4 linked regions of the Caenorhabditis elegans genome follow. The protein of the gene in region 1 interacts with the protein of each later gene in a pairwise test. Each region holds a gene or a part of one and is shown on either strand. Other genes may lie near its edges. The genes, in order: hlh-2, cnd-1, hlh-8 and ngn-1.

Region 1 (7,970 bases):
AATCCGGATCCTGGAAACTCTGGATCTTCTTTTGCTCTGTGAGTTTTCAAGCCTATATCTAGATTCAAATAACTTAAAGACTTCTCTTCAAATATTAATTGAAATTAAGAGTGTCGATATTCCGAATTTTCATTTTTCATTGTTCAACAATACAATTGATTGGAATTATTCAAAACTCGAGCAACCATTCCTTTTTCAGGTATCGCGAAAAGCAAAAGAAGATGGCCACTGATTCTGCAAAAGTTTACAATGGACCTACAAAAAAGGAAAAGGATCCAAAATGAGCATACATCCAGTCGAGAACATTTTTACATTTACTTTTTTTAAAATTTATTTTTGTTTCAATTCGTCTTTAAATGATCTGCGTCTCTCGTTTTTCTCATTATCGTAAATATTTTATTGTTGTATAATAAATCGCAGTTCTCTACTTGTATGTCAGTAATATCCCAGATTCACCTTCTCACCTTCACCCTTGTCTACTCTGAAGATATGACCATGTGATGAACATTTGCGACTTTGATTTATTGATGTGTCTCTATAGAGAACAAGGTGTTGAGAAGAGACGCAAAGAAAACGACTGAAAAAGAAGAAAAAGGGTTGGAGGGAGAAGATTGAGCTCATAGTGGAGCCTCCATCATCATACCCGACTGGTCAGTTCAACAGATGCGGGATATCCTGGTTTCTTTGTGTATTTTCTTGGTTTTAATTGGAAAAAGTGACACGAAATGGTTTGGAAAGTTTGGCAGATCACAAGCGAAAGGACTTCCGGTGATTCTCGGTGAGCTTTTGTTTTATTTGATTTCTTAACTTTAAATCTTTCAAGTCGTTCGGTCGGTCTACTGTAATTATATTTCTTTATTTTAAATTTTAAATTTTATATTTTTGAATTACATCCACAATTGTTCAAGTTCTCAGTTCTGATGTTTTATTTGATCAGAATTGAAAAGATATCTAGTACTTTCTAATACGAGTTCTAAAAAGTTTCATACATTCCAAATTAGTTTTAGTCCGTTTTTAGCAAATTGGAATTTAAAAAATCGCAATAAATATATTGTATAGTTTTCAGTGCCTGGTGATGGAGGCAGCCAGCTGGAATCAAATCTAACGGGTAAACCATCAGTTGTGCATTATGTTTGCTCCAAGCAGACAGCCGATTATTTTGATCTTTGGCTTAATCTACAACTTTTCACACCTTTGGTTATTGATTGTTGGGCTGATAACATGCAGTAAGTTTCATTATTTCCAGAGCAAAGAAAATCAATTTAATAACATTTCAGATTAGTGTTCAACACAACCACAGGATTGTCTGAAAACATGCCAGGAGTTGACATTAGAGTTGCTGGATTTGGAGCAACTGAAAGTGTTGAATGGTTGGATAAGAGTAAAGCATCACAGGGAAGATACTTCTTTGATATCGTTGATTCGATGGTTTCATGGGGTTATCGAAGAGGAAAAAATGTCATTGGAGCACCTTTTGATTGGAGAAAATCCCCAAGTGAGTTGAGCCTTCAGAATTAAGAGAATACATAGGTTCATTTGTTTCTCATAGAAATTGACATTTTCTGGTTTATACCCGCGCTAAAAGTCCGCGTACCGTTTGCGCCAACTTTCCAATTGCGAACTTGCTCACAAAGATCAGCAAAACCGTTTTTTTGCACTCCGAATTACCAAACCAACTTTGTATTTAATTCTAAACAATTTCAGATGAATTAAACGATTATCTCATTCAACTGAAGTCCTTAATTGAAACCACATATCGCTGGAATGACAATCAAAAGATCGTACTCGTCGGTCACAGTATGGGTAATCCCCTTTCTTTGTATTTCTTGAATAATTATGTGGATCAGGTGAGATAATTGAAAGGTGTTAGATGAAATAACACTTATTGTTTCCAGGCTTGGAAAGACAAATACATATCGAGTTTTGTTAGTTTGGCGGCTCCATGGGCTGGATCAATGCAAATTGTTCGATTATTTGCATCTGGATATAATATGAATTATTATAGAGTTATTCTACCACCGAGTAGCTTGAGAGCAATGCAAAGGTAAGCACTTTGAGGTGTTTGGAAACTTAAAAGTGAAATATTTACTCTTATGGTGCTAAGACTACCAAATTATGTTTTTCTTCAACTTATTTGGTTCTTCAGATCATTCTCCTCTTCGGCCTTTCTGTTTCCAAGTCCAGTTGCATGGAAACCACATGAAATATTAGCGACAACTGCTGACAAAAACTACACTGTTGGAAATATTAAAGAATTCTTTCAAGACATTAATTACATGGTTGGATGGGAACAATACAAACAGGCCGCCCGTCTGAATGGAAATTTAAGTTCTCCAGGAGTTCCAGTTCATTGTATTTATGGAACAGGAGTCCCCACACCGGAAAAGTTTTCATGGGCTCCCGGATACTTTCCAGATTATCCACCAACTGAATTCATGGGTGATGGAGACGGGACAGTGAACAAAAAATCAGCTACAGTGTGCACTAATTGGATTGGAAATAATAATGGTTATAAGGTTACTGTACACGAAGTATTTCAAGCTGATCACATGGCAATTCTTAAACATCCAAATGCAATTGAACTTGTCCGAAAAGCCATTTTCCAGTTAATTTGAGTGATGCAAAAAGGGTTCTGAATTTTAAAATTTTGTTTGTTTTGATCAAGGTGAATGAATTATGTTTGTATCACATTTTTTCCCGTTGTTGACATTTTATACATCCAATATTCCTATACATCAGTTTTGACAGACCATGAAAAAAACATCTCGTTTCAACGACTTAGAAAGTCAAACTAAATGTCTAATTATAAATGGGAATCCCTTTCAACATAAAGTGGAATCCATACTGCGAAGGACATTAGCACTTCATCGGAGCTTGGATAATTAAAGTGTTGAAACAGTTACCCAATAGAGTAATTCATGTGTGAAATTAGTTGGCGGTGTCTTTTTTTTTGAGTGGACCATTTCATTTCAAGTAGATACTAATTAGCTATGGTTTATCACATACACACACACAAAAAATAAGACAAGTTGGAAGAAGTTGATTGAATGAATGAATAATATGAAAGTTAATTTTAATACTTGAAATATTAGAATTAGCTATTGATTGATTTAAATTTAGAGGAGAAAATAAATTAAAAACATACAGAAAATTGTGATGATCTTGTAATAAAGTTTAAAATTTTTAAAACTGAAAACTGATTGAAGTTGAGAAATCACAGGACCTCCAATCCGGAGGGAGATGAAGGGGAACATTTGAATAGTTTGAACAAAAAAACAATATGCTAGAGAGTTTTAGCCGTATGGATGATTGGGAGAAGATTGGGAATGATAGTTTGAAATGCTTAAAAAGTCAATTTTTAAATTTAAAACCGTGGATGTCCAAACTGCGCGGATGGTGCATTGTCATCAAGCATCTTCATTTTATCATCATCAGGTTTCCTTTTCATTCCAGCCATCACTTTTGGATTCATATTTCGTTGACGAACCTGTAAAATTATAAATTTCAACTTGTTCAGTGTTTTGTTTAAATTTTTCGAATAAATTCCATCGCAATGTTATGTGCTTCAAAGTCAAAAATACAGCAGTCGAACAATTGCCAATTAATTTTGTTCACAATTTGAATGTTTCTTTAAAATATGAAAAATTATCTAACCTGTTCTTCCAATTGTGTAATCACAGATACTGCATTGTGTAGAATTCCCAATTTTGTTTGATTCCGTTCTGTATTCTGATTGTGCTGTGTGCACATTCGTCCGAGCTCTTTGAATGCCGAATTGATGTCACGAACTCGTACTCTGTAAGTTTTTTGTATTAGATTAGATTTGGAGATATCTCGATTAAATTACTATGTAATTGTCAATTTCCAATGTTCAATTCAAAACGTCTTAAAAGTAAAAAACTCCTCACCTTTCTCGAGCATTATTCTGTGATCTCCTATCCGTATCTTTGTCATCACTCATTGATTCATTATCAGAAAGCCTTGAAGACGATGAATGGCGAGTTGGAATTCCAGAAGATGGAGGGCCTTGTACCCGACGACGGCTCGTTGCTCTTGATGCAGACTTATCATTTCGAACAGATGATGCACTTGATCCTGGTGGCATTCCGGTCATTCCTGGATATCCATTTGGATCAAAGTGTGGGCTCATACCGGCTGGTGGGAATTGATGATTGTAGTCAACCAAGTTGGTATCTCCACCAAGACCATTCTGCAATATTTCATTGTTTTTGGTTTTATAATTTCTATAACCCTCATCTAAAACTACTCAACTTTTTCTCTCAATGAAACAAAACAAAGAATTAATTTCATTTGCCTTGCTAGTCAGTTAATTCTCTCAAATGGTACTATTGGGGGCCGAGTCAAATCAATCGATCTCTTTAATGTACTGAACCCCGCAATGTGACCGTCTCTGTTCACCACTTAATCATGCGGCGACGTCGGTCAATAGCCCCCTTCGGTTTTCGAGGACACCATCAGAAAATGTGACCGGCTATTGGGTAACAATGCAAAAAGCAAGAGCTTCAAATTTTGGCCAATTTAGTTATTCACTAGTCAGAGGTTGGATACAGGGATTTTACCATATTATTCTAGATTTCTCAAGACTGGAACGCAAAAAAATGTCATCAGGGTCTCAAAACTTTGTTCACGACAACAGTAGTTCAGAATCTTAATGTTTAGTATTGTCATATGGCAAAAATTATTTTAAAGAAAACTGAAAGAATCTCAAAAATTTCCTCCAACAAAAAAAGCGATAAACTTTGCCTAATTATGTAACTAATCCATCTTTTCTGTATGTTTCTCCTTGTTTTATGTTTACATTAGTGACTTTTTTGGAGGTCGTTTAGTGCGCACAGGGTGTTCTTCTCAAGAAGATGCCGCCTTTTGCATGCATCTCAATCTTCAGAAGGCGGCGGCTCACATCAAAAGGAAGCGGATTATGCATACGTGAATGCTTGGCGGCTGAGGAGGGCCAAGCAATCATTCGTCGAGATTAACTTGTGGTAAAACAGTAAAACACGAATAAAACCAAGAAGAATAGAAACGTACCGGCTGTCCAGCAAGTTGCTGCTGATACGATGAGAAGTCGGCAACTGATGGATCAGCACCAAATGTATATGTTGGAGGGATTGAGATGTATGGATTAACAGCTTCACTTGCTTTGTTATCTTCTGAAGGTGGAAGGTAACCTGGATATGTTTGTGGCCATGTATACATTGATGACATTGCGTCAATTGGTGCGGTAAGATTAGTAAGAGGCTGTGGAGCAACAATCGCTGATGTTTCTGCAGAATTCGTGGCTGGAGCTGTTGTTGGCTTTAACTCAAGCACATCAGTAGTTGAAGTTGGAGCTGGAGCAGTAGATGGAGCCGTCGTTGAAGTGGATGATGTTGCATGAATTGGCTTAATATCAGATGTTGCAGAAGTTGGAGCAGCTACGGAAGCAGGGGTTTCAGTTGGTGGATGTGTTGGAAGGAAGGCTGATGAATAATCAATATCCGTTGTTTGCATCGGAGGATACGGGTTGAGATGGTATCCTGAAAATGTTTATTTAGATGACTTGCACTTGAGAAATGAGATATAAACATTTTGGTTAATAAACTACTTACTAGAGCAAACCAGATTTTTACAAAATTTTAGAACATTAAAAGAGTTATACATTTTGTTTCAACTTAAAGTAAATTTTAAAAATTTGCGAGCTTATAAAATCAACAATTCAACAATTCGAGATAAGTAATACCAAACTTATATCCTTTTTCTGCAATTTATCCAATATTTCTAACTGATTACAAGCGACTTTTAACAAATTCACGAAAACATGTTTGGTTTGGTTTACCAAATGATATAATTGAAATTATAATAGATTTCAAATGAAAAAAAGACTAACCACTCCAATAATCAGGCATCTGAATCGTTGTCGGATCAATATTATAAGGATAATCATATGCATTTGGAAGCATAACCTGTGGTTGAGCAATGGCGGCAGTTGCAACAGTTGTGGCTGACGTAAGTTGGCTATTTGGATCCGCCATTGAGGTTCTGAAAACTTTATTTCTGCGAAATGATATGAAAGACGATTATAGTAGTAATGTCAAAGAAATAAAGTCAGCGGAGAAGCGGGGAGAGGAAAGGGAATAAGTAGGGAATTGGGCTGGAGCAGCAGGTGAAAAAATTAGGTTAGTAAATATATTCTGATTAGATTTTCGTCAAGACAACCCCATTTGAAGAAATATTGAGAATAAGAAAAAGAAGAAAATAATCGATTCTCCTCGTTTGGTTAAATAGGCAAACGAGATCAAAAGAGGCAAGGTAGATCAATAAAGAATAATAATTGTGACGTCACAATAGATCTACTAAGTTCCGGTATAAATTATTAGGAGCAAGTTACTTGAAGGAGAACAATTTGTAGGGAGGTAATGATGTTGAGATGGTATCAAGAAATAGTTGTAAATGTAGATGTCATTGTAGATGATTATCGGATGGATGACATCCCGAAAGAGCAATAAAATAACAGTAAAGGGGTGATGGATCAAAGGGTTTCAGGCCCATCTAAATAATTAGTTTAAATTCAGACGTAGGATAAGATATATATGAAAGCTTTAAACGTGAGCTAGTAACATTTCGGATGCAAATATACATTTTTTGATAAACTCAATAATTGAAAAAAAAACTGCCCTACAATACATTTGCGTTCTTGTTTAAATTCAAAATTGGTAAGGATTCGTAAACATTGTAGGAGTGAGAAAAAGTAATGCAGATCAAAATTATTTGGTAAAAGATCCAAAATTGAAAATTGGGAGGAGAGAAATTTTAATTTTCAAAATCAGAAGATGGGATACATTATGTATTTCATTCAAAATATGTGCTATGTTTTATTACAGTAAGATCATGAACTTGAAAAGCTAGTAAACGGAACAGATTTAGACACAAAAAAAGACGAAAAGAGTGCACTCCCCCCTTCTTAGCGGCTATGCGGGTGGCTAGGAATGGTTCTTCGAGGGTGGTGGTAGTGGAGGGACGCGTATAAAAGCCCATTCAAGGGACATAAACAGTATATTGGTGTACATAGACGCAGACATTCTTTCTCCCGGGGACCGTCTACATCCAAGAGACGCAGAGACGATGATCGGGAGAGGTCACGCCCACAACCATCTCTCTCTACCTCCTGCAGCACACAATCCTCTATTATCCCGGGGTCCTCCATCTCTTCTCCCACCATTCATTCACCAGTCTTTTTTGGGTGAAATGAGAGGAAAATGGGGGAAGGATTGAATGAATAAGGGGATTGAATGAATAGAAGAGGTCAGCTCTCTTGGGGGAAAATGTCGCCACCCGACTGTAGGGAGTACATTCATTTTTGAAGCATGTTATTAGAGTTTTGTAGGGATCTCTGAAATTTTAATTCTTCAGAATATGGTAAGAGTGAGAGAAAGAGTGTGCACAGGAAAGGGGTATATTTTATTAGAATAAAGTTACTCATATTCACAACAGAAGTTTCAGCAATCACAATACTGTGGGACTACTCGAGTCTTCAAATATCTTGAGCCATATCCTAAAATTGTCTCTCTGTGGTAATAAACCAACAATTATAAAAAGAAATGATACTTCCAATGCCCGTCTCTAAAGTGCATTTTTTGACAGATGTTGTCAAAAGTATACGGTACTGGAACTTTTTTCTCGAGAGTATTTGGGGAGGTGTCTATTGTGGGACGGAGTGCAGCTGTCATCAAATTCAAGTGCTCAATGGTTTGGTTAGAAAAAGTTAGAAATACGGTAATAATGACGAATTTGTTCTACAAATATGATTAACTAAATGGTGATACTTATTTGAGAATGTTGAAAAAGGGATGCAAGTAAAGATAGGTCTCAATCAGATTTCAATCATTTTAGAAGATTTATCTGATCATTGACAGATCAAATAGGGTATTTTATCTAGATAAGGCACAGGAAACCGAAACTCAACAAGTTGC
Region 2 (8,542 bases), on another chromosome or scaffold:
CTTTTTCGGGAGAGCCGGCATATGTCTTTTGATGACAAACAAAATGAGTGCCAATCAGATTAGGAAGCGATAGAAATTGAATAGAAGAGGAGAAGTCAATCATCATTCCGTCTCCCTAATATCTACAGTAATACCATCTGTTAAGAGCTGCTTGTATTCCATGTACTCTTTTAGTGGTGCATGCACTGTTGCTCAAAACAAAAAGAGAAAGGAGATAGAACTTGGAAGAAATAATTGAGTTTATATCGAAATTTGATATTTTTTAACATAAAAATACCAAATAAATGTGCTCTTTCTTTCCCTACTGGTGTTTTGCATTTAACTAGAGGCTCCTCTTTTGATTGACCCTTTCCAATATGTCATTTTGCATTGAATTGGTAGATAAAGATGAGAAGTTGTAAACAAGTACTAATTGTAACAATAAGAATAATAACAATAGTTATTTACTACTTTCAAGTTTACTAACATGGGATCTCAAAACTTTTGTAGTACCACCAAAAAGTTACAATTATTCAGTTTTCAAATATTATAATTTCTTGAACTCTACCAAAAATATATTTACTTCTCCTCGGGTATTATATTTCAATGATGTTTCTATTGTTTGTATTTAAATTTAAATTCAAAAAGTTATTTCTGTGTATTTCGCAAAAAATTGAAGAAAACCCGGAATTTGGCAATTTACCAAATTTTAACTGAAATTGTAAATTTTGAAAGTCTGGAAAGTATTAGAATATTTCATACATACAATCATTTTGGCACTACCTAAACAGTTTTATAACAATTTAAAATCGTAGGTGACTCCATCAATTTTGTTCAAAAGCTTTTCCTTCGACAAGACCATACATAATTATGGCCGCCCTGTGCGACTTTGAAAAAGAAACAAAAATTTGCATATTTGATGCTTTGATTTTGTTCCGCGTCTGCATTCAAGGTGATTGATTTTTATGGAAACACAGAGCAGATGGTCACACTTTTTGAAAAAATATTCGATTGGTGTGAAATAAGTTTGATTTCCGTTATTGCAAGATGACGAGAATTGATAAACTACGAGATTTTGCGCTTTTTTCGTCTAAAAATACTTTACATTTTAAAGACAAAAGAGGTATGGACTTTTAAAGTATACTGTAAAAACATTTTTGAAAACTGAACGCAATGAGGAGTTGGGGAATACAGTACTCCATAAAGGCACACACTTCCATTAAAAATAAATCATGTCAAGACCGGAAATCGTATTTCGAGCATCTTACAATTTTAATTCGAGATGGTTTTCTTTTCAATTGCTATGTTTTCCCCAGAATTTTCTCTATTTTTTGGTTTGTTTTCTTTTTGTTTTTCCATTATCTCCTATTGGGTCGAACATAAATAAATCTTCATCTCGCTTGGTTCCATCCCTCCGTGTATTTCACCCATTTTCTCTCCACTATGCTTCAACTGTCAAATCGTTTTGATTTCCTTCCCGTCGTCACCCACCATTTTTCGTTGAGCACGGTGGTTGTGGTGGCGGCTCTTTTTTGGTCACAGCTCGAATGAGTGATGAGCATTAGCAAGGTTTCGGTATGAAGAAAAGGGGAAAATGGAAACAGACGGAACGTGATTAAGACTTAGGTTACGGTATTTAGAGAATAGGGTGATCAACCGGAAAATTATGAATGGTTTTTTTAGGTTAGGCCAGAGCAAAGAATAACAAACAAATAAAATAAACTAGAGAGAGCATAAACTTCCAAATAAAAATACAATTAAAGAAAGACCGTTAAACCTGCATAAGTTTCTCCATTTTATTAAACCAAGACTCTCATGAGAATTCAAAAAATAAACCATCTCCACTTGACACGTTGACAACTAGTCTCCATCTGCTTGTTAATTCCTTAAATCAGAACAAAAAAGAAACAATAAAGATTACATAACTTCCTGTTACCCATTCTCTTGTTACAATTTCCCTTCTCAAATGGGCTAATCCTCAACAAGTACTCTCACTCACTTGAGCTCATCTCATGCTCATTTAACGGTCAACAGCTATGACACGTGGCTCTAGTAATACTTGAAAGTTTTCGCGCATACTTGTAGTGATACACTGTATCCATCCGGTCTGTATTTATTCAGAAGTCATGAAGAGGGCGATGAACACCTGCTGGGAAGAGACAAATATAGGATATCTGTCAATAAAAAAGATATATGGTAACAGGTACATGTGTATTTAATGATTATTACATGCGCGATATATGTGAATGTTTGCGCATTTGGTTGCAATAATATTTGGTTTATTTGACATATTATCACAAAATTGGGAAAAGTTCAGGAGAGGAAACACTTCACAAAAAATTATTCGGAATACCCTTATTTGAAAGGTTTTGCTTGGACAATTCGTCAAAAATTAAACTATGGCAATGTGCAAAAAAAATAATTTGGAATTTTTCCAAAACTATTGGTAGATCTAGAAAAAATCCTCTTTAACGATATTCCTTCATTAATTAATTGAAAAGTTTTTAATAAGTTGAAAAATGTTGAAAATATTTTTTACTATATCTTTCTATATACCCAATTATTGTACCAAATCATCACCTAGGCACCAACCATATTGTTATTCATTAATAACCGCACCGCTTGCTCTCTTCCTCCCACCGATCGGTCTTGAAAGATTAATTACAGACTTGCATCATCATACAAATATACCGCCCGTACTCCTGAAAACGTTCAACATACGGTGCCAAATCCGTTTAGAAATGTGTGACAGTGACAAGGAATTGGTCTAATTAGGTGTGATGCAATGCGGTAACCAAACTGTCAAAGGATGGAATTCAACTAGGGGATTTATGAGTCAAGAGGTGTGAAATTTTGGTATTTGGTTTCTAGCAGAACAAAAGGTATATGAACTCAAATGAGGAAATGTGATAATCAAATTGTGAAATTATTGGTTTTAGAATATCCATGAAACTTAATTTTTCAGTGTCAAAAGAAATAATCTCGAGCCTTTTCAAATTGCTCGAAAAGTGGATTTTTGGACGCTTTCGATAATTTTCAGAGATTCTAGATTCCACGGGGAAAAATCTGCACAAGTACTTGCCTATCTTCCTTCCATTCCGGGCCACTATTTAAGTGTTCTTTCTGTGTTTTTTCCTAGTCTCTTCAAAAGATGAATGACCAACTGTTGGTGGCAGCTGGCTAGATAGCACATGAGTATAGGAGACTAAGACATTTGAAGGACTTGAATTAATTATTGCCAATTTAGGTTAGCTTGAGGATGGACTGAGGCCATTACCGGAAGAAGGGTGTTATTAGAAAAAAATAGAGGAAAGAAAAGAAAACAGTTATGATTTAAATGGAAAGTTAATTGGCATTAAGTGAGATTCTCATTAACTCATTATTTGCGCGAAAGTGGTACATTTCTCTTGAACTAAAACAAACAAACTGAAATGTATTCAGTAAATTTTTTCGCTGAAGTTTTTTCCAAAACTAGTCTTGGTTTTAGGATGTTTTTTTGTAAGATTAGGTTTTTATTATATTATTTTTTGATAAAATATGTTAACTTTATAACCAACCTTTTCATGTTTTAAAACAAAAAGTGACTAATAAAGTGCTCTAAAAGGCTTACTGAATGCTTACCAACTAATAACAGAATCTGCAGATTAGTGAAGTCTCAAAAACATGCAATGAAGAAAAAAACTTGTTTTTCAAAACCATCGTTTTTGTGAAAAGACCTTATCAACTTCCAATCAGTTCCCGCGTCAACAAATATCTGTGATCTATCTAGAACATTTCTCAGAACATCCCGTGCACTTATCTTGAAGAGTATGTCAGTTACAGAATTGTGTGACCCTTATAAAACCTTTCTTGGTAATTAGATGATATCTGCATTTACTGATGCACATCATTGCATAATTGGAGAAATATGACATAACAACTTTTACTGGATGTATACTACTCTATTTCGATAACGGTCGTATCGATAGATCCTATAGAACAAAAATTCAGACTATATGTTTTCACTCTTGGACCTTCACTCTCGGAATCGAAAAAACGATGATATTTGAATTTGAAAGAATAAGACAATCTATGATCTCAATTTTCAAATCAGAATTTGATTTTCAGAATTTTTTGTGGAATATTTCATATTGATGTATTGTTTATATTGACCCCTGGCAAAAGTCTCACAGTACAATGAGATCCCAGAAGAACACTTGGATTATGTTCAGGAAGGAAGAAAATATTACAGTTGACACCTCTGGTATGTAGGATTACAGAGATTTTCATTGTTTCATGAAACTTTGACACCTGCTCATTGACATTTGTGATTTGTAAAAGGTCAAATATTTTGAACTGACAAGTTTCTAGTAATGGGCACTCTACACCTTTGTTAGGCGGGAATTAATGGCAATTCCAGAAATTCACGGCAATTTTCAAATCTATTTATATTTCGAAATTTAAAATTACAAATTGCAATTGCGTGCATATCTGACATGCTCTCCGGATCTAACAGAAGATCAACGAATGAGATAGTGCTACTGTTTTAGGCAAATAACATGTTAATCGGTGACACGCATGTGTTTTGGTTGAGATAAAATCATACTGTAATTAATATGGAGTAGTTGAACTACCGTGGACGATTTCTAGCATGTTTCAAGATTTTTAAAATTACAAGCACGAGCGTTTTTGTTAACTGGATCGTTTTCAGAACAAATTTTTTATCTATTGGAAGGGATTTATTGAAATGTGGAACACCATTCCACACATGTTATAAAGCTTCGTATTTTAATATTTATAGTCAATAGTGTCGATCATGTTACAAGTTTGGCACATACATTCAAAAATATTAACTTTTTGGAATGCAGTTTTTTAGTTGGAACATAATTAAGAGTCCTTTGCCTTGTTGGTATACTTAGAACATTTTGATATTTTGTTTTCTAAAAAGTAGATAAAGTAGAGCTAAAAGTTTTTTTTAAAAGTATTTTTCTATGCAAGGTTCCTATTTTAAGCAAGTTTTCTAAAATCTGATTGTAAGACACATCAACATTAAACTTTTTCGAAAGTTTCATCTGTAAATTTATCTTTTTAGAACTTTTTAATGCTATCATTGGAAACCATTCCATCCTTCCCAACGAACATCCCGCCCCTTTTGTACACCACGGGCTCTCTGTTCACCCAGCTCCACCAGCCCCGCCCCTCCTTCTGTGAACCATCCACCAGATCAGTAGCTCATTCTCTTTCACTATACACTTCCCTGTCATCCAGTTATATTTTCTACAATGCGTCCTACTGATACTTCAAACTTTGCTCCAGCCGAAATTTCAAAGCGAAAAGTTCGACGAGTGAAAGCAAATGGAAGAGAAAGAGCAAGAATGCATGGTTTGAATAATGCATTGGATATGCTCAGAGAGTATATTCCAATTACTACTCAACATCAGAAACTTAGCAAAATTGAGACTTTGAGACTCGCAAGGTAAGATTTTTTGTTATTTGGCGCTTTCTTCTAATTTTTCTAAAGTGTTTCTAATTAACTGAAACTTCGCTTTAAAAGTTTAGATTTTTTAAATACATTTTTTCCAAAACGAGGTAATAACTTTTTTTTCAATTTTCATAATTAATTCCGTGATTTATATAATTTCCAAGCCGTCTTGAATAGAATAGAATATAGAAAGACTCTTCTTAATTACCAGCTCGCTGTCATTAAGTTTTATGATTCTCCCCCGTTCCAAATAAGAATTTTAACGATTTAACTATGAACATAGTCATCATTAAACCCATAAAATATTTCCAAATTAATTCAAATATTTCAGGAATTACATTGATGCTCTTCAAAGAATGTTGCAAACAAACGAACAACCAACTCCACTTGAATATGCTCACACACTTGCCAATGGATTGTCACAGACTACCACGAATATGTTGGCTAACTTGTTGCAGGTAAGGTTTTGAGAGCATTTCATTAAATAACTTGGTATTGTCTTATAACTGAAGTTAGAAGTCATAAGATAGTTTTTCGCTAGCGAAATTAACTAGTTGTTGAATTTTCGGAGTCCTCCAGAAGTTTCAAATACAGTTAATTTAAACATAGTCAAAATATTAAACTCATAGGAAATGTTTAGTACTGTAGTTTGCCTATCTTCTTGTTAGCTGATTTACAAAACAAGTGTCGAGACCGCGTGCTGTATTTTTAAATGAGAAATAATTTTTTCGAATAGATGAATCTAAAAGATTTGGGCTTTGTATAACCCATTTTTTCTTACACATTTACCATATTTTGTTAGAGTAAAAACAATTTACTACCCAAAATCTCCATATCCCCTCTCTTTTCCAGGTCCAACCTCGTCAACTCCTTCCACCATCACAATTCGACATCTTCTCTGATCCATCCCATCATCAACTTCATCCATCTCATCCACCACCACATTCATCCTTCTCATCATCATCACCATCATCTTCATGTTCTCCACCTCAATATTATTATTCTCCAACTCAACCATCAGCTGCTCCACTTCAAGGATCATGTGATCCACAATATCAACAAATGTATCATCAACATTCCCATCAGAATACTTTTAATTATTCACCATAAGTTTCGGTTTTTTTTCAAATATTTGTTGAGAGTCTCTTTCTTTGATTTCTGATTTGTTTGGTTACGGGTCTGTTATTTAATTTTATTTTTGTCACTACATTTATACATCCAGTTGAACTGAAAAATAAATTATTTTAAAGTATTGACCAGTAATTTTCCATTTTTGTTTCTCTTTCATTTTAAAATATGACTGCTAGAATGCTAGAAATATAAAGAAAAAATATAGAATGAACAGAAACAAAATGCTAGAAGTACGGTAGGTTACGGTACGATCGCGGCGAGATATCGAGTACGTGATCGGAATGTGTGTTGTCCGCAACGTTTTTTTTTATAGTCATGTAATAAAATATTTTTCTCAATTTTTTCACAACGTTTTTCCTTTTCCCGAGTCTTCAACGTTCACATGATCAAGATTTTCTGTCCAATTAAGATCGAAACAAAGAATGAAAAAAAGTTCCATAACTGAAGAGCCACTTAATGTTTACGGGGGGGAGTCCTCCTGGGAATCCGTGCTGCTCTGAGAGCATAATAATAATTATAATTATAATTTACACTCCTAAAACAAACACCAAAAATAGTGTGGGGAGAAGCAAAGAAGAAGATAATTGCGGGTGTAATTATATCATCACTATTGACAGATACAGCCAATGAATATTCGAAGATGTTTAAAATGCGTGGAAAACATTAATAATTTACTTAACCTAAATATGAATAGACGAAATGAAAAATCAACAATATCCTCTAAGTAAAAAGTAAAATCAACAACGAAAAATAACTGAACAATTCAAACATCCGTAAATTTAAATATCACAAGAATCCGATAGTTCGACGAATCTCTTCTAGATTTTTTTCTGCAATTTCTCGAGCCTTTTCACCATTTTCAGTTAGCACTTTGTCAACCTGAAAGGTGGATAAATTAAGAATGAAAAGCTCTGCAAAAATCAAAAATTTGACAACACAGATGGCCGCAATTTTAGTTTAACTGGGGAATGATTTGAAGAGAAGCCAAAAAACGAATAAAATTATACCTCTCCAGTATTTTGTAATTCTTCAAATTTTTGTCGAATTGGAGCTAGTCGTTTATCAACTGCTTCAGCCAAATTCATTTTCAAATCTAAAGTTGTCCAATTTGAGAAGTCGATCTCTGATGTTTGAGTTTTGGTGACTGCCGAATAGAGATCAAGCTGGAAATTGGAAAATTAGGTTCTGAAATTAATTAGAGGACATACCAAATTGGAAACAGCTAACCGGTTTTCCTTATCATATGTCACTTTTCCAGCATTGTCACTTTGTGCTTTTTGACATTTCTCGATAATTGTGGAACGGCTGTCTGTGATCTGAAAAGGGTACTGTAGATGAAACTTGCTATAGTTTAGATTCTTGATTCAAAGTGTCAATTTCTTAAATGCTGTTCCAAAAAATATGTTTTTGTTCAGTAAGAAATGTGAAATTATTACCTCAATACGACTCCTCGGTCCTCCTGATGATTTGCTCATTTTCTTTTCAGGTTCTCTTAATGATCGAATTCTTGCATGAGATTCTCGTGTTAACTGCTTTGGAATCGGAAAGATTTCAGTCTCATAAGTTTTATTAAATGCGTAAGCAAGTCCTCCAAGAAGATTTAAATGTTGACTTTGATCTTCTCCAACTGGAACTGTTGTGGCTTTAAATGTAAGAACATCAGCTGCTTGAAGGAGAGGATACGTAAGGAGTCCAACTGGAATATCACCTTTTTTGAATCTTTCTTTTTTTTCTTTATATTGGGGAAGTCTTGCAAGTTTTGAAGTTGTTTGAAGTGAACCAAGAATCCATGAAATTTGGGCAATTTGAGGAACATCTGATTGTCGGAAAAGGAGAGTTCGGTTTGGATCAACACCACATGCAATAAGACTTGCTGTCATTTGGTGAGTGTTTTGGCGGAGCTGTAAACATTTTTTTATTAATTTTCTAAACATTTGTTTTTAGATTTTCCAAAAAGAAAAAAAAAGTTTA
Region 3 (8,346 bases), on another chromosome or scaffold:
TATGAAGAAAATGTACCTCCGTGTAGAAAAAGCCGGACAACTTATCTCCTACAAGACAGGAAGCTCTATGGTCACTGAGTGCGTCGAAGCAAAGCTCTTGTACTTGACGATAAAACTTTTAAGCAATCGCGTGGAGCTCAGCGAGCAAGATGAAATGATGGTTTTGGAAATTGGCAGCAAAGTTGCACATTGCTCGACAAGCTTTAATTACACTAGTGAGTTATTTAATTTCCTATCCTTCATATGGGAATTAACTTTGAATCGTTTTCAGACTATCTCACTGCTCTCCTCAACTTTGCTCCTGCTCGAGCTGAAACTCTCCCAGCTGGAACTGATCTTCGCACAAATTATGAGCAGAGCGTAGTGCTCACCAAAGTATTCCTAAGACGGACTTCGATCCTCTTTGACAAAGTTTCGAAGATTTATGATTTTTCCCAACTCCCACAGGATATTGTTTGAATTCTCCAATAATACATTTGGTCACATTAACGTTGTGTCAGTTTCTTGATAGCATCTGTCAAACACAGTTGTTTAAAGTTTTCAAAATCCTGTTAGAATTAGTGTCCCGAAAAAAAAATAGAAAAGCTTTCAAAATCCCAAACATAGCATCTTACTTACTCGCCTTTGCTCCCAAAGATTTACCATTTTCTTGTTTTTGTTTGTTAATTTCCTCTCCCACCCATTTTCAACCATGTCATTTCACACATTAAACTCAGTATGCATCGATTTAATTGTTCCAGGCTAATTGGGTTTCTGTCATTGTTAATAGACACAATTTTTACTGAGAAATCCTTTTCATATGTGTGAAATTTGTTCTTTAAACGTGCATTTCCTATTTATCGCTCTCTAGATTTGATGCCAGTTCGTGTAGTTTTTTCCCAACCGTTGACTCATCGATACCGCAATCCATTTCACCCAGTATTTGTACCATTGCCGTGAATTCACAGTATTACATGGTCGTCCCCTTTTCCACAAAATCTCTTTCAGACTCCCTCCACCCTGATCCCGTTTTAATTGTTTCTTGCTGATTTCCCTTTCAACCGATCTTCGTTTTTTTTTCAATAGGGTATATTTGAAATGTCGGAATGTCGATTCAGCAGTAAATTTGATATGACACTCTGACTTTTTTAAATGTAAATCTGATTGTTTATCAGAATTCAACCGGGCCCACTGATTATTCATTAATTATGCGACAAGAAGAATAACGTTATAGTTTTTCTTTCTTAAGCATTTTTCATCATCAACATTTTTTGTTTAGATTTAATTTTGTTGCTAATAAAAAACTACACAAAACGCCAAGCACATTTATTTGACTTTTTTTTTTGAGTAATGCAGTAAGTAGGCAATTTGTTGTTTTTATAATTGATTAGTTTTAAGGCCTACTTGCAAAACTGAGAAAATTCTTATCAAGAATTCAAAACCATTTACGATTATCGGATTTTTAATATGGACAATGTTACTCATTTTGGATAAATCAAAAGAGTTTTTGGATTTTAAAATTAATAACTGTTTATTACTGATTAACAAAAGATTACGGTAAATTGGAGTTACAAAATGGACAAGTTTTATTTATGAATCAAGACATATTTTGATAAAAAATATGGGTACCCCCGCCAATTTAAAAATAAATTTTTTAACTTAAAAAAAAACGTGTGAAATGCTTTCATATTTTCAGGCTTACTTAGAAAAACACCATTCCTAAGTCTAACGAGGAAAATGGGAAACATGGGAAATATTACCGAAACCTGGGAAATATTTTTTATTGATTCCAAATTTTCCCTTGATTCCAAATATCGATGTGAAAAAAAATTAAAACAAAAATTACTGATTTTATTTAAGCTTGAAATCACAAATTCCATTTTTATGTCATACTTCAGATTTAAACAAATTTATTTTATGTGTGTTTTTTTAATGGTATGTCCTAACGATTTTCCTAATTGACAACTATTATAGATTGAAAACACAGAATGCCAAGTAACGTAAGAAATTTTTTTTTCGAATACCAGACATAATTTCAATAAAAGAAAAATCTTTAAAAAAAGTTTAACTTTATACTACAATAATTTTGGTTTTTATGAAGGAATCTGTATTGCGGCACATCATGTATTTGCTCAAGGTTTCGTTGGTTGACATATTTTTGTGATCCGTGGAATGAGCTTGCATAGAGTTTAGTCATAATTGGGTTTATTTTACATACAGTTTGAAGTATGTTTTGTCTGTTATTCGAAATTTTTTAGTTAGTTTGGTAAGTTGAAAAGAATTTACAAAATTTAACTAAACGAGGACGCTCATCTCGATTCTTATAATTCCATAATAATTCTACGGTAAAAGTCAAGTTATGCCTCAAAACATGTAATACATAATTACCAAAACTACTTAATTACCGCATTTCCTTAGTATTTTAATAGTGGTGTAGTCGAATTTTTTTTATTGCTTTATTAGACTCAAAATTGTCTGCAAACACCCAATTTCATAATGAAACTTATTGAAAACAATACACTTTGAAACAATTTAGTATTTCAGGAATAAGGTCACTGGAACTTCGAAAATGATAATTTGAATAACCGTTAATAAAATATTCAAACCAATTTGCATAATCTTGATTTTGTATCATGATGGTATAGAATGGGACTTTTGAAAGATGTGAAGTTTCAATTCAGTAAGTACAACTTTAAAATTGGGCTGCAAGATTTCTTCTTAAATTTTCAACAGTTTCAAAACACTGAAATCATGCTGAACTATGGTTAGAGACTCGACAACTTTCCTAAATTTTGGAGCAGTTTCAATGGTTTTCGAATGTATACTACATTTGTACCATTTTATGTGTTAGTGTAGGTTGCTTTGCTTCTACCTTCACTCTCAAATTCTTTTTTCCGCGGTAATTTTTCAACTATCGAAACAAAGAAGAAGTCATGAATAACTGTCCGCATAGAGTTCTCACCCGTCCCCTTTCTTTTCACCGAGCAGTCACGAGAGAAAGAAGAAGAAGCGGACCGCTGCAGAGATTCTTCGTAGCGGAGCCCCGCCCATCCTCTGTTACGCATATGTTTGGATCTCATTTCTTCCACTCATTAACGTTCCAGGTATGTTTTTTTTGTTGATTTTTTAATGTGTTACTTTTCATATGTTTATTACTTGAACTGACCGATTTCAAATATGATTTTCACAGATGGTGGCTCGTAGAAAAGGAGAACGCGTGGTTCGAAAGAATGAAGTGGAAAATGTGCAGCAGAGAGCATGTGCCAACAGACGGGAACGTCAAAGGACCAAGGTAAATGTTCATTCAATTGTTTTTGAGAGTTTCGGGTTGTTTAATATATTTTGAAAATGACCGCCTTTCTCTCAAAATGTTATTTTAGAGGCTTCAACCTAGATCAGCAGCTCGAAAAAAAAAACAGAAATTAAATATATAGTTTTTTTTAACGTAGTCAAACATAGTAACCTAGAATTGATACTATCATTTTATAAATGAAAAAAACCATGTCAGGTCAGTCAGGTCATTGTTTGTTGCATCTATTCTGCGTACGACTTTCACACAATTTTTCAATGACAGTTTTGCGTTGAGAACAACTTTTGATCTTTGTTATGTAATTAGTATATTTGAGCAAATTTTTCTCTTCTTAGCAATAAAATGTCGAATTTTCAACTGAAGTTATCAAGTTTGAGTGAATTATAAAATTAGTGCTAGCCATGTAAGCAATGAAATATCCCCTTCACACGAAATCCTATAAATTAGTGAGCGAACACTCCAAAAAAACCGGGTCATTAAGATTATCTGTTACTGTTCAGTATCGTTGTAATCCATACCCCTTCATTGCACGCTTTGGTAATTTTTTCACGTTTTTTTCCATTGATTAAGGTACAGTTTCAGTAGATCAATCCGCAAAATTTGAAAAAAATCTGTTGATTATAAGTATGTTCACCCGTATCGAGGAAATAAACGTGGAATAAAATACTAAATTTCGCAAAGAAAAGGTATGACTAAATAAACATGATTTTCGGTCTTTTCGACATCAAAAAATGACAAAAATGTGCTTTTTTTAATATTCAAACATGTTTTTTTGCGTCAAAACCGTTTCTGAACTTTTTTAAAAGGTATTATTCTGTAATTGGAACTGTAGAGCCATTGCTTCTTTTCAAAATTTATATAAATATTCCAGTTCTTTACTTCTACTTCCCCCTACGATCTAGTATTTAAAAAATTAGTTACAAAAAAATGTTACCGGGGAACCAATTTTAAAACCATAACTCGGCAACCAAATTGAACACGACTCTTTCGCATATCGCATATCATTTACAGCTTCCGTTCCCAAGCCATATCTCACACTTTTCCGACACCTCAATAACTAGTTTCACATATCACCCTGACCGCCAGGCTCGACGACACACTTTATTGTTCTCCCGCGCAATGTTTATGGCTCATCATCTGGCATGCTCGCTAGCTCGCTGCGTTCCAAAACTCCTAACGTCGCCTTCGTTTACGGCTAACATTAAACCACTTCCTCAACTCCTTCCGTAAGAATTTTGAGTTGCTTTTCGGAGTACGGTAGAGGAAGATGCAAGACGCGAGATGGGAGAAGAGGGTGGGGGGCAATAAAAAGAAAAGGTCCCTTCTGAATCCTGAGAACATCTGGAGACAATTTCAAAATATCACAGGAATCAGAGAGGCTGAAGGCAGAAAACTTATTTTTCTTCTTTCCACGGACGACATTTCTGAGCCAAGGCGCTAGCTAAACAAAACGTTTTTGATGGGGAAAATGAGTGATGGTTGAGCAATATTTTTGCCGAATTTAAAAGATATTGATGATGGCGATTTTTTAAATAAAGTCTAAGTTGTTAGCAGTTTTTAAAAACAATTACCAAAATATTAAGTTAATTAGTAATTCCACACCGTCTTTGAAACGCCAAATGGAGTCTTGAAACTATTGCAAATTGCAATGCATTCCGAATATCACTAAAAGTGCACGACAACTACCAATTGCCGTAAACTTCAAAACCTCGTGGCGTTAAGCCCTTTTTCAAAAAAAACCTAAATGAATACAAAAACGCGGTAGTGTTTTCTAAATATAATTATGTTTGAAAACTACCAAAAAAAACCTGGCAATTGGCAATTTCGGCAAGTTGGTCAATTTTAGCAATTGCCGGAAATTGCCGAAAACTGTGATAACAACTATCCTAATGACCTAATGAGTTCTTCTCTATCTTGATATGTTTATGCTTTATAAACATTATCTACTGTTTATGCGCGAAAAAAAACATTTAGATCACTCGTATTATGATTTGTTTACAGGAACTCAATGACGCTTTCACACTTTTGCGTAAACTGATCCCGTCGATGCCCTCAGACAAGATGAGCAAGATCCACACACTACGCATTGCAACCGATTACATATCCTTCCTTGACGAGGTTTTGAGTTGGAGATACTGTGGGATAATTGAATAAAACAATTTCAGATGCAAAAAAATGGATGCAAACTGTATGGCCATTCGATCTTCGACGAAAAACGTGGATACAATTTACAGTCGGCTTTCAATATGTGGAGGGGTAACAATGGATACACACCAATTGCTGGACCTTCACAGTTGCCTCCACTACAATCTGGTGAGCAAAGATGTTAATTCATTTTCAATTTTTTATTTGTTCCGTAGGCTGGAACATGTTCATAAACTTAGCATTTTCCGCTTTCAAAATTAGGCAAAACTATGAAAATAGAAGTACGAAACGTTTTTTGAGTTTAATGGATTATAATATTTTCGAAAAATGTCAGGTTATGATTAGAGCTATCATTTTTCCCGAATTATTTGATCATCAATTTACACGAACCTAAAATTGACTACATCAAAATAATGGGGTAATAACTGATGTAGAAACAATTCGTTTCAAAATTTTCAGTTGTAATTTTAGTTAGCTAATGGGGCTAATAACAGCACTAGTATTTTCTAGCTGTTAAAATTCTAAAGCTTTTATGTTATCTTATAGGAAACTGTATCAGGGATAAATGAAAAGTTAACCACTTTCTTAAACATTTATCGAACTTATAAACGTCGTACTTGTTTTCATATAACCTATGTAAAAATTATCATCAAAATTTAAAATTCTTTGCTTAGTTTTGCAGCCTCTATTAGTCTTGCATCTCTACGAATCTACCGACAATTAGTCTTACATGCAGGAGTAATAGGAAATACAGTGTACTGGGCTTCCTTTGTGCACTTATAACAATGAAAATTCTCAGCTTCAGAGTGAATTGAAACTGTTATGATTGAAATTCTTATGAGAATAAAATTCGTGTCTTAAAAACAAAGTTCACTTTTTTCAGCACATATTCCCCCTCCTGCTCCATCCAGCATTCCTCCACACTGTCTGATGCCCCAGCCTTGGTATCAGACTTGTCCGCCGCCAAAACGTAAGTTTTTGTACTGATACAAATTTTTATAGTGGGTCATAAAACAGTTTAGTCTGACTAGCACAACATCAGTAATCCTGCAAATCCTTTTTGTCAAAGTACAAAAGTACAATTTTTGAAGAGAATTCGCGTCACCTTGTTTTTTTTTCAGAAGAATTTCATGAACTGTGTCCCATCTCAACTCCAAATCCCAATTCAAATCCAAATCAACTCACTCCAATTCACTGGCAATAATTTCGAATATGGAAAAAACTGGCCAGCTCCTAATTTATTTGATAATGTATGCTTCTCAATCAACATAGTCCTCATGATATAGTGCCTTATTCTCATTTTTGATGTATCAAATCTGTCTAATAATATCTACTCGATTTCAATTTTCGTTTGCTCAAAACTTAAAAATTTGCTTGAGAATTTTGCAAGAGACTATTAGTAAGCCCATTGTTAAATGAAACAAGTTTATCCCGCAAACAGAAACTATGTGTGAATATGATCAAACTATAATACAAACACGTAAAAAAAAATTTTGAATCATAATTATCATTTGACCACTAAGCCATGCAATGATGAACCAATTTCAACTTGACATTCACACCCAGTAGTGGTATCAATTGACTCTTTTACCCAGTCATCGCCATTCTGTCTCATCACATTGATCGTCCTCATTATTGGCTTGCATTCTCCGAATCCTAAAAAAAGTGTGGGTCAGCGGCGTGATGGATGGGCGTCTATGAAAAAAAACGAGCCCATCGGAGCCCAAATGTCAAATACCTGAAAGGCATCCATCGTCGTTGTGGTCGCAATTGACCTCATTCAAATAGTTGGGGTAATAGTCGGCGGGAAGCTTTCTCCACTGCCAACACAAATTGCACAACCCACACCATTCGGAATTCGTTTGAAGAGCTTCACCACGGCGGTACTGACATCCAAGACTAGTGACTACTCCAAGCACTGAAAAACAGAGTTATCACTAAATTACTGATATTGTATCGGAAAGATTTGCATTTTTATTAGGATGGTCATAGATCTAAATCTAAATTTAAATTTTTTAAATTTCCAGTTAAAGTTAAGACGAAGTGCCAAATTTTTGAAAAAAAAATCTTAAAAAGAAATCCAGAGCAATTTAGAATGCTTCGACAATTAGAATGTCTTAACACAAATAATTGAAACAGAATTAAAGTATGATAATCGTGGGAAAACTTTTTTTGGTCGGCTTCCAAATTTATGAGTGGCAAAAACTGTACAATTTTCACTTTTTTACTGTCAATAAAAAATTTTCAAGCATGTTTGAAAATTTTTACTATGATATTTAACTATTTTGGTCCTATAGGAGTAGTTTGAAACAATTTACCCACTCGCGCTACTTTGCCTTTAAAACATTTTTTACTCCGTCATGAAGAGTTTTGATTCAAAAGTTGTAATATTGAAAAAACTTTTAGTAAAAGTTAAAAAATGAATAATTTATACAATAAGATTTATTAAGCAAAGAAGTTGTTTTAAAAAAGTACAATTTCAGCTTACCTGGCCGGTTTTTTGGATCAGTTGATGTGAATGAATCAGTTGAAGTATCTTGATCAATTGTGTTATCATCAATATCATTATTTAAAGAATCGGTGTCAGGTGTTGTATTCATTAACACAAATCGTTTAGTAAGTCGCTAAAAACATTTTTAATCTAAAAAAACTTGTAGTGAAGTTGGAATTAAATGGGCTACCATGTTTTTATTAAAATTATCTAACAAGCGCACCTTTTTTATCTTATACTTGTTAACTGTCGAGTACTCCTCACTGAACCTCTTTTTTCTTGAATGTTGATCACAAGATCCTGTTGTACTACCTATTAAAACTTTCGATATTTTTTGATTGAAGTTGGTAAAGTTGATTGAGCAGTTGTGGAAAATAGCCAATAACCAACTCACCAAGTTTTATAGCCAAAGCATTTCTTT
Region 4 (6,922 bases), on another chromosome or scaffold:
ACATTTCAGGCAAAGGATTTACAGAAAGAGCTCTCTTGGGAAATCATTTGCAAATCCTCCATAATAAAATACTATATAGGATGGGTTGATTTACAGTGTGGAATTTATGGGAAAAATATGTATTGTGCATTGTAGGGCTTCCATGTAGGCGTTAGAAGCCTACCTGCCTGACCTAAAAAGCTTTATGTAAAAACATACGTTAACATTTTTTGAAAAATTAGAAATTTGTAAATTCACTTCAAAATGGAAAAAAGAGGCGAAAGGCGGGGGAAGGTTTCAGGCAGGCGCCAGGCGCTCATGCGCATTGTTCTATAATTAGTTTTAGTAGTTTAAAACTTTCTGATAAAACCAAATATAATCGAGAGAGATTTATGCGCTGTCAAATTTTGGGTTGATATGCACCATGCTTGAACAAAATTTTTTTTACAATTGTTAAAAATCCTAAAGCAATCATCACAATTTTGGGTAAAATTAGCATGTTCCCCCCAATCTAACCCTCTCCTCGCTTCATGATTTTGATGCGAACCCCAAGCTTTCTCTTGTTAAAACGTCAAATTTCACGAGCAATTAATTGAAATTCATAGCATGTGTCTTCTGCGTCTCTCACATTTTCACACACTCTCTCTCTCTCTCCCTCAGTTTCCACTGGGGTGATGATTAGCCTATTACGGTTTTGACGACTTTTCGAGAGAGAGAATCAGGAAACCTTCTTGTTAATCACAGGTGTCAATGTTTGTATATAAATATACAAGCTAATCTCATTAAACACCATAATCCTAATACACAGTAGGCAGGGAGGGGGGATTATTCCGTAACCTTTGGCTACTCTATTATTGGGTCAATAGGTATCAATTTGCACATTATATGTGGTATGACTATTTTTTCGAAATTTGGAAAAACTTATACAAAATTACAGAAAGAGAAATGGTACATAATTTGTTAGTTGACAAGTTTTTGATAAAACCAAACACAGCGGAGATAAGCGCTATCAAAGTTTAGGTAGTTTATCGATGCACCATGTCTTCAAGACCCTATATCTCGATTCATTAAGGTGATATCAGGAAGTGTTCAACTACAAAATTATAGAAAAAGAAGTGGTGCATATTTTGTTTGTTGACAAATTTTTGATAAATCCAAACACAGTGGAGATAGGCGCTAACAAAGTTTAGCAAAGGTGGATATCTTGGTTGTCTTTGTTTTATTTTTGAAAAATTGATAAATAAAACGAGTGGAAAATCAGTACACAAATAGTTTGCTGGTTGAAAAAGTCTTTGGTAAAACCGTAAAAACCAAAAATATCCGAGATTTAAGCAATAACAGACATGGTGCATCGACAAAAAAATTATGAGCTACAAGATTATAGAGCAGTGAAATTATAGTATATTCTGATATACACTTACACCTAATGGGTCCCTCAACACTGTATACCGTTTCCGTCAGTTGGGATCTCCACTAACACCTTACACTTTTTAGACCTCCAATTTTGATCAAAATTGGATGCCTATCGGCCTAAAAGTTGTCTCAATCAACGAATTTCCGCGAGATAAATTACCAAAATAAGGATTAAAAAGATGATAATTTCAGAAAAAAAATCCAAAATCCAAAATTTCAGATTTTAGCAAAATTTGGCTCGTTTTTTTTCCAAATTTTGACCGGCCATAAAAAAATTTTGGAAATTTTTTGTGAAGTCTCGTTATGAAATTCGGTGGTTTTGAACCAGTTTTAGTCTATTTAAGCAAAATACCCACAAACTCTACCCACCCCCCCCCCCCCCCTTAATTTCAAATATAAGCAAGATATAAGCTGTCAAAAGTTAAACAAGTTTTTCGATGCACCATGTTTTTGGACTCAATTATTTTGAAGATATTAAAGATGTCAAATGTTTAAAATATAGGAAACGTATTGATAAATATTGGATAACACCAAACACAACAGAAATATAAGCTCATGAGTGCATTTTTGTACTTGTCGGAATTTTGAAAATCCCAGAAATTCGTAATCGAAAATTAAATAAATTAATTCTTAACAATTATATTTGGTATATTGGGTCTGTATTCTGTCATTTACTACAAAAAACAACATTAACTGATATCTTCGAAATAAGCCACGATGTAAAACAAAAAATTGGGTTAAAAGGTTTTCCTCGTCGATGTAGGTGTCGTTGATCTCATTAAAAAAATTGCAAAACAATCATATAAAAAAAACCAATAAAATACCTATTATCTCTATTAAACTTCCTACATGCACCATGTGCACATTTGAATATATTTGAATTCAAAAATAGTTTAATTGAATTAGTTAGCTTATATCTCGATTTTCCCTGGTTATATCAACTAACAAAATACAAAGTATTATAAATGTTGCATTATTTTCAGCGATTAAAAAAATTAAAATTTTTTCTTAAGCCAAGATATACGCTGCCAAAGACATGGTACATCGAAAAATTTCGTTTCACTTAACTTTGATAGCTTGTATCAGGGGTGTGCGGCAAATTTGCCGAATTTGCTGAATTTGCCGTTTGCCGAGCTCGGCAAATTTGCCGAATTTGCTGAATTTGCCGTTTGTTAAGAATTCAGTAGTTTTGGTGCTCCAGAAAACATAAAAAATATCAAATTTTTCCGAGTTTGTTAAGCACGGCAAATTTGCCGAATTTGCCGAGCTCGGCAAATTTTGAGATTTGCCGCACACCCCTGGCTTGTATCTCGGTTATCTTTTTCGCTATCAAAAAGCTGCCAACTAACAAAATATTTGTTATTAAACGCTCTCCCCTATACAAGCTACCTGTCTTTCTGTATTTCCGTATAAGTGTCGTTATCTCCACTCCCACCCCACCAGTTTCTCACCTTTCAGAATGTACAGTCTTCCGGTTTGCACCTCTATTCCTCTTTTTCGGCGAGCTCTCCTACTCTGAAAAATCGCACCCCACCATATCTCCAGACTGGTGTTCCGGTTTGTTTCCCTTCTCTCTCTCTCTTTCTACCCCGCCCATCTCCTTACACCCCGCCCCCTTTATGTCCCATCTGTCATTAGTCAGTCATTTTCCACAGTGGTGCCCCCACCCACGTGTTTTTGTTTTGCACAATGTACCATCATTCACCATTCTACCCGCATCATTTGCAAACTGGCGAGCAAGATTTAGATATGGAACGAGAAAATGATATGGATCAGGTTAGTTTTGGTTTTGGAAAAATGTTTAGAGAAATTTAAAACCAAATAATTTTTTTTTCGATTATTTTTTGAAAATTTCCGCAATTTTCTGAAGGTGCCAGATTTTTAAAGGTGGTGTTGTCGAGTTTTTTCATTGCTTCATTAGCCTTACAATTGTCTGAAAACGCCGAATTTCCTAATGAATCTTGAAAACTTCAAGTTTTAAACTATCGTAACTCCGTGGAGGTGGATGCTACAAAACATTTGTAAACTAACGTAATGTTGCAAATTTAATTTGTTTCATTTTATTAGTTAACAATTTTTGATAGGATGTATGGTTCCCGAGATATAAGCCTTCAAAATACTCATGGTATTGTACAGCTGTAACTTTCCTCGTGTAAATTTAAAACTAAAAAGTGGTAGAAAACTTCAAAATCTTCAATTTGTCAGTTGACAGTTTTTTAATAAATTTCCCGGTTAATGAGATATAAGCCTTTAAAGTTGTAGAATGATTTTTAGAAAACACCAAAATTAAAAATTGAATACATAGCTGTATCTAAACGGCGGTAATAGTTATGCAAAACTTGTCAACTGTCAAAATACTAATCAAACAATTTTCTACAAGTTGTTAGTTAACAACTTTTTAATAACTATTATGGCTAATAAGATATGCCCGTTTAAAGTTGTCTCAGCACACCCGAAAACTTTGAGTAGCTATATTTCGGCGGAAACAAAAACTGCTGAAAAATTGCTAACTAAAACATATTAAACAAAACATTTTTCTACATTTTGCTAATTAACAATCTTTAAATAGCTCTTGCAGAAATTTCAGTAAACTGTTTTTTTTCAGAAAAAAATGTTTAAAAAAAATTCATTCTCTATAACTTTGTTACTGTTCAAGCCATTTAAAGGAGGAGTACCAAAATCTAAGACTTTTTCTTAGACTCAAAATTACCCAAAACTACCGAATTTTGTAATGAGACGTTTTGAAAATTTCTCAAAGTTCTGGAAAAAATGGCACGTTTTCAGCTAAAATCAAAATTTTGGCACCTTTTTTGCCAGAATTTCGAACTGGCATAACTTTTTTTTGAGAAATTTTCAAAACGCTTCATTACAAAATTCGGTCGTTTTAGCTAATTTTGAGTCTAAACAAGGTCTCAGAAAGGTCCCTTTAATTCTGTTTTTGAGCTCAAAATCAATTCTCATTTTCTCTTTACAAATTTAATTTCAGAACTCCAAGAATTCTACACAAAAGCCTGTAAAACGAGAAAAACGGAGATATAGATGCCGAAAGCGGAGCCCAGCGACAATCGAACGAGCAAAAACCGTCAGAAGAGATAAGGCTAATGCTCGAGAACGTCGGAGAATGAATAGTTTGAATGATGCGTTGGAGCATCTACGTGGCATACTTCCAGCTCTTCCAGATGAGCCAAAAATGACGAAAATCGAGACTTTGAGGAAAGCCCAAGAGTTAGTTTTATTAAAAATTCGAATATTTTAACTATATTTCCAAGCTCATCAGGATCAGAAAAATTATTTTCCGTAGCGTGGATTCGTACCCGGCACTATTTTCCCCAAAAGCGAACCTCTACCCGACTGAGCCACTTTCTCAACTTTTTATTTGAGAGTTCAAAAAACGGCTCGAATTTAATAATTTTGTCTAAATTTTCTGGGTTCAGAAAGTTAAGATTTTTTCTTTAAAAAAACATTCTAAAAATCTAAAAATCCCAAAAATTCCAGATACATCGCCAGTCTAAGCTTCCAACTATCCGGCGGCTCCCCAGACTCCTCTCAGTGCTGCGAGACGGGTTCCTGTGGCCTGTGCTCCGCGAGCCAATCTCTTCAGTCCACACCATTCCAATCACCATGCTTCCCACAACCACTACAGTACCCCTCATCCTACAGTAATCCACCGTCGCAAATGTACTACCATCATCATCATCAGAGCCCAAGCTTCCCACATCATTGACACAATTTTTTGTTCAAAGTTTTTTTTTTCAGAAATTTCACATTTTTGGGTATCGTCTAGTCAAATTTGCTCTCACTTGGCATATTTCAATTTTTTTTTGTAAAGAATAAAATTTTTTTTTTTTTCGTTTTGAAACATTTTTAAGCCACTTAATTTGGTGACCTAGAAATTCAAATGTTCGGATTTCTAAGCCACCTTTCTTCAACAGCTGAAAAAACTAATATTGCTGAGCAAGAATGCTTTTTCAATCTTCGAAAATATAGATTTTGAAGCGAGTTATAGGCATTTGAAGTTGGTGACCTAGAAATCCAAATTTTCAGATTTCTAGGCCACGGGGATCAATTTTTAGAAATTGATAGAACAAACTTTGCCGTTAAAGAACATATGCTTGAATTCTTGAAATACGATTTTTGAAACGAGTTATAGGCATTTGAAATTGGTGGCCTAGAAAATTGGGGGGGGGGGGGGTGGTGGGAAGTTAGGCCATCAAATAGAAGTCGTCATAGGCACCAACTTCAAACCTGCCTAACTTTCCTTAAGATCAATATTTTTGTATTTTGGCACGTTTCGTACATGGCCTAGAAATCTGCAAATTTGGCTTCCTAGGCCACCAACTTTGAACTTGGCTTTTAATTTGTGAAATCGAAATTTTGAAAAATTTTAAAACACAGTATGAAAATCGGAGATATTTATTGATTTTTTGCATAGGAGATCATATAAATTGATTATAAATTAGGTATTAACATTTTGAAAATTTTCGAAAATTTTTTTGTTTCAAAAATACATATATTATTATAAAAAATTATTACATAAATCAATATCGCATAGACAGTTCGTCGTCGGAAATTGTATTTTTCGTCGATGGATTTTCCGAGTCCTCCAGCCAAGGAGCATCGAAATCGTGGTAGATGGGCTCCGCGAGCCATTTCTGAAAAATTATTTTTTGGGAATCGATTGTTTAGCGATCTATTGTATTTTTACCATGAAAAAATCACGTGTTTTCAGCTCGACCATTCGGTGTAATTTGTGCAAACACCGCCACGCGCAAATGCAGACATTTTTGCACGCGCTGCGGTGAAATTCCTCTTGGGGAATTCAAATATTTTTTCCCGCCATTTTTAAAAATTTTCGAGGCGTTGGTCGAGCTGAATACACGTGAAAATTACCCAAAAAGAAACACTAAATGCCAAGGAACAATTTGAAATTCTGCGCTAAACAACACGCGCCTGCGTAATTGTGGAGCATCGTTTGAAACTCGTTAGAGCCCATTTTAAATATCGATTTTTCGCCCGGTAACTTACTGTTTGAATGGGTGAGATGAATTCCATTGCGACAAGGCAATAATACGTCTGAAAATTTTTTAATTGGTTTTTGTATTTAAATAATTAATTTAATGAAGTTGTCACTTACCAAATATGCGATGAAAATAATGTAGAAAATCGCGCAAAAAATAGTGATTGGAATAGAAACTGCATTATAACCAAATGTTGATCCAATCCAAGAGTATAAGAAATAAAAGTTGATGAATAAAATTATCAAGGAAATCACAATGGAGACCACTTTGGAGACACTGAAAATTTGAAAATTATGGCTAGAAACTTTAAAAGTATATTATCTAGGGAACCGTATTAGTTATAAAAAAGTTGTTAACTATAAACTTGTAGAGCCGGAAATTTCCTATATATTGTTAGTTTACAAATTTTTTATAGCTAGTGTGGTTCAGGAAATATTACCGTTTAAAGTTAAGGGCTGCACAAATAGGAAAATACCAACAGGCATTTGTGTTGATATATCTCGGGAACCATG

What was found.
Region 2: the proteins of hlh-2 (region 1) and cnd-1 interact in a two-hybrid assay, tested with the Caenorhabditis elegans proteins (2 studies listed by BioGRID).
Region 3: the proteins of hlh-2 (region 1) and hlh-8 interact in a two-hybrid assay, tested with the Caenorhabditis elegans proteins (2 studies listed by BioGRID).
Region 4: the proteins of hlh-2 (region 1) and ngn-1 interact in a two-hybrid assay, tested with the Caenorhabditis elegans proteins (2 studies listed by BioGRID).

Annotation. Positions count from the first base shown.
Region 1 is NC_003279.8:7,187,876-7,195,845, forward strand, and holds hlh-2 (Helix-loop-helix protein hlh-2), read right to left. Parts: upstream 6,046-7,970; 5' UTR 6,033-6,045; coding exon 5,888-6,032; intron 5,538-5,887; coding exon 5,050-5,537; intron 4,211-5,049; coding exon 3,909-4,210; intron 3,797-3,908; coding exon 3,655-3,796; intron 3,488-3,654; coding exon 3,365-3,487; 3' UTR 2,913-3,364; downstream 1-2,912. Other genes in the region: M05B5.3 (uncharacterized protein), read left to right, coding at 1-38, 200-284; plag-15 (PhosphoLipase A2 Group), read left to right, coding at 664-778, 1,067-1,226, 1,278-1,495, 1,705-1,847, 1,896-2,044, 2,147-2,615. UniProt on the Caenorhabditis elegans protein: Transcription factor which binds the E box motif 5'-CA[TC][AG]TG-3'. Plays a key role in the anchor cell/ventral uterine precursor cell (AC/VU) decision; required for VU fate.
Region 2 is NC_003281.10:5,238,743-5,247,284, reverse strand, and holds cnd-1 (Neurogenic differentiation factor 1), read left to right. Parts: upstream 1-2,645; 5' UTR 2,646-5,240; coding exon 5,241-5,434; intron 5,435-5,771; coding exon 5,772-5,898; intron 5,899-6,292; coding exon 6,293-6,550; 3' UTR 6,551-6,694; downstream 6,695-8,542. Other genes in the region: prx-10 (Tryptophan--tRNA ligase, mitochondrial), read right to left, coding at 7,358-7,450, 7,579-7,734, 7,780-7,887, 8,008-8,472. UniProt on the Caenorhabditis elegans protein: Acts as a transcriptional regulator whose activity is required for several aspects of motor neuron fate specification, including cell division patterns, proper spatiotemporal expression of fate-specific markers, and normal axonal morphology and pathfinding.
Region 3 is NC_003284.9:8,113,469-8,121,814, forward strand, and holds hlh-8 (Twist-related protein), read left to right. Parts: upstream 1-2,988; 5' UTR 2,989-3,083; intron 3,084-3,169; coding exon 3,170-3,271; intron 3,272-4,296; exon of another isoform or gene 4,297-4,443; intron 4,444-5,290; coding exon 5,291-5,407; intron 5,408-5,454; coding exon 5,455-5,602; intron 5,603-6,317; coding exon 6,318-6,404; intron 6,405-6,555; coding exon 6,556-6,638; 3' UTR 6,639-6,872; downstream 6,873-8,346. Other genes in the region: K07E3.1 (Bromo domain-containing protein), read left to right, coding at 1-215, 272-459; C02B8.12 (Cpw-wpc domain-containing protein), read right to left, coding at 6,942-7,090, 7,173-7,352, 7,923-8,058, 8,149-8,237, 8,320-8,346. UniProt on the Caenorhabditis elegans protein: Acts as a transcriptional regulator. Involved in postembryonic mesodermal cell fate specification. Activates ceh-24 and egl-15 during mesodermal patterning.
Region 4 is NC_003282.8:2,624,374-2,631,295, reverse strand, and holds ngn-1 (Helix-loop-helix protein ngn-1), read left to right. Parts: upstream 1-3,024; 5' UTR 3,025-3,081; coding exon 3,082-3,168; intron 3,169-4,378; coding exon 4,379-4,617; intron 4,618-4,887; coding exon 4,888-5,116; 3' UTR 5,117-5,234; downstream 5,235-6,922. Other genes in the region: NRAMP-like transporter smf-3, read right to left, coding at 5,931-6,044, 6,418-6,465, 6,527-6,686. UniProt on the Caenorhabditis elegans protein: Acts as a transcriptional regulator. Regulates expression of various genes, including homeobox protein unc-42 and helix-loop-helix protein hlh-34.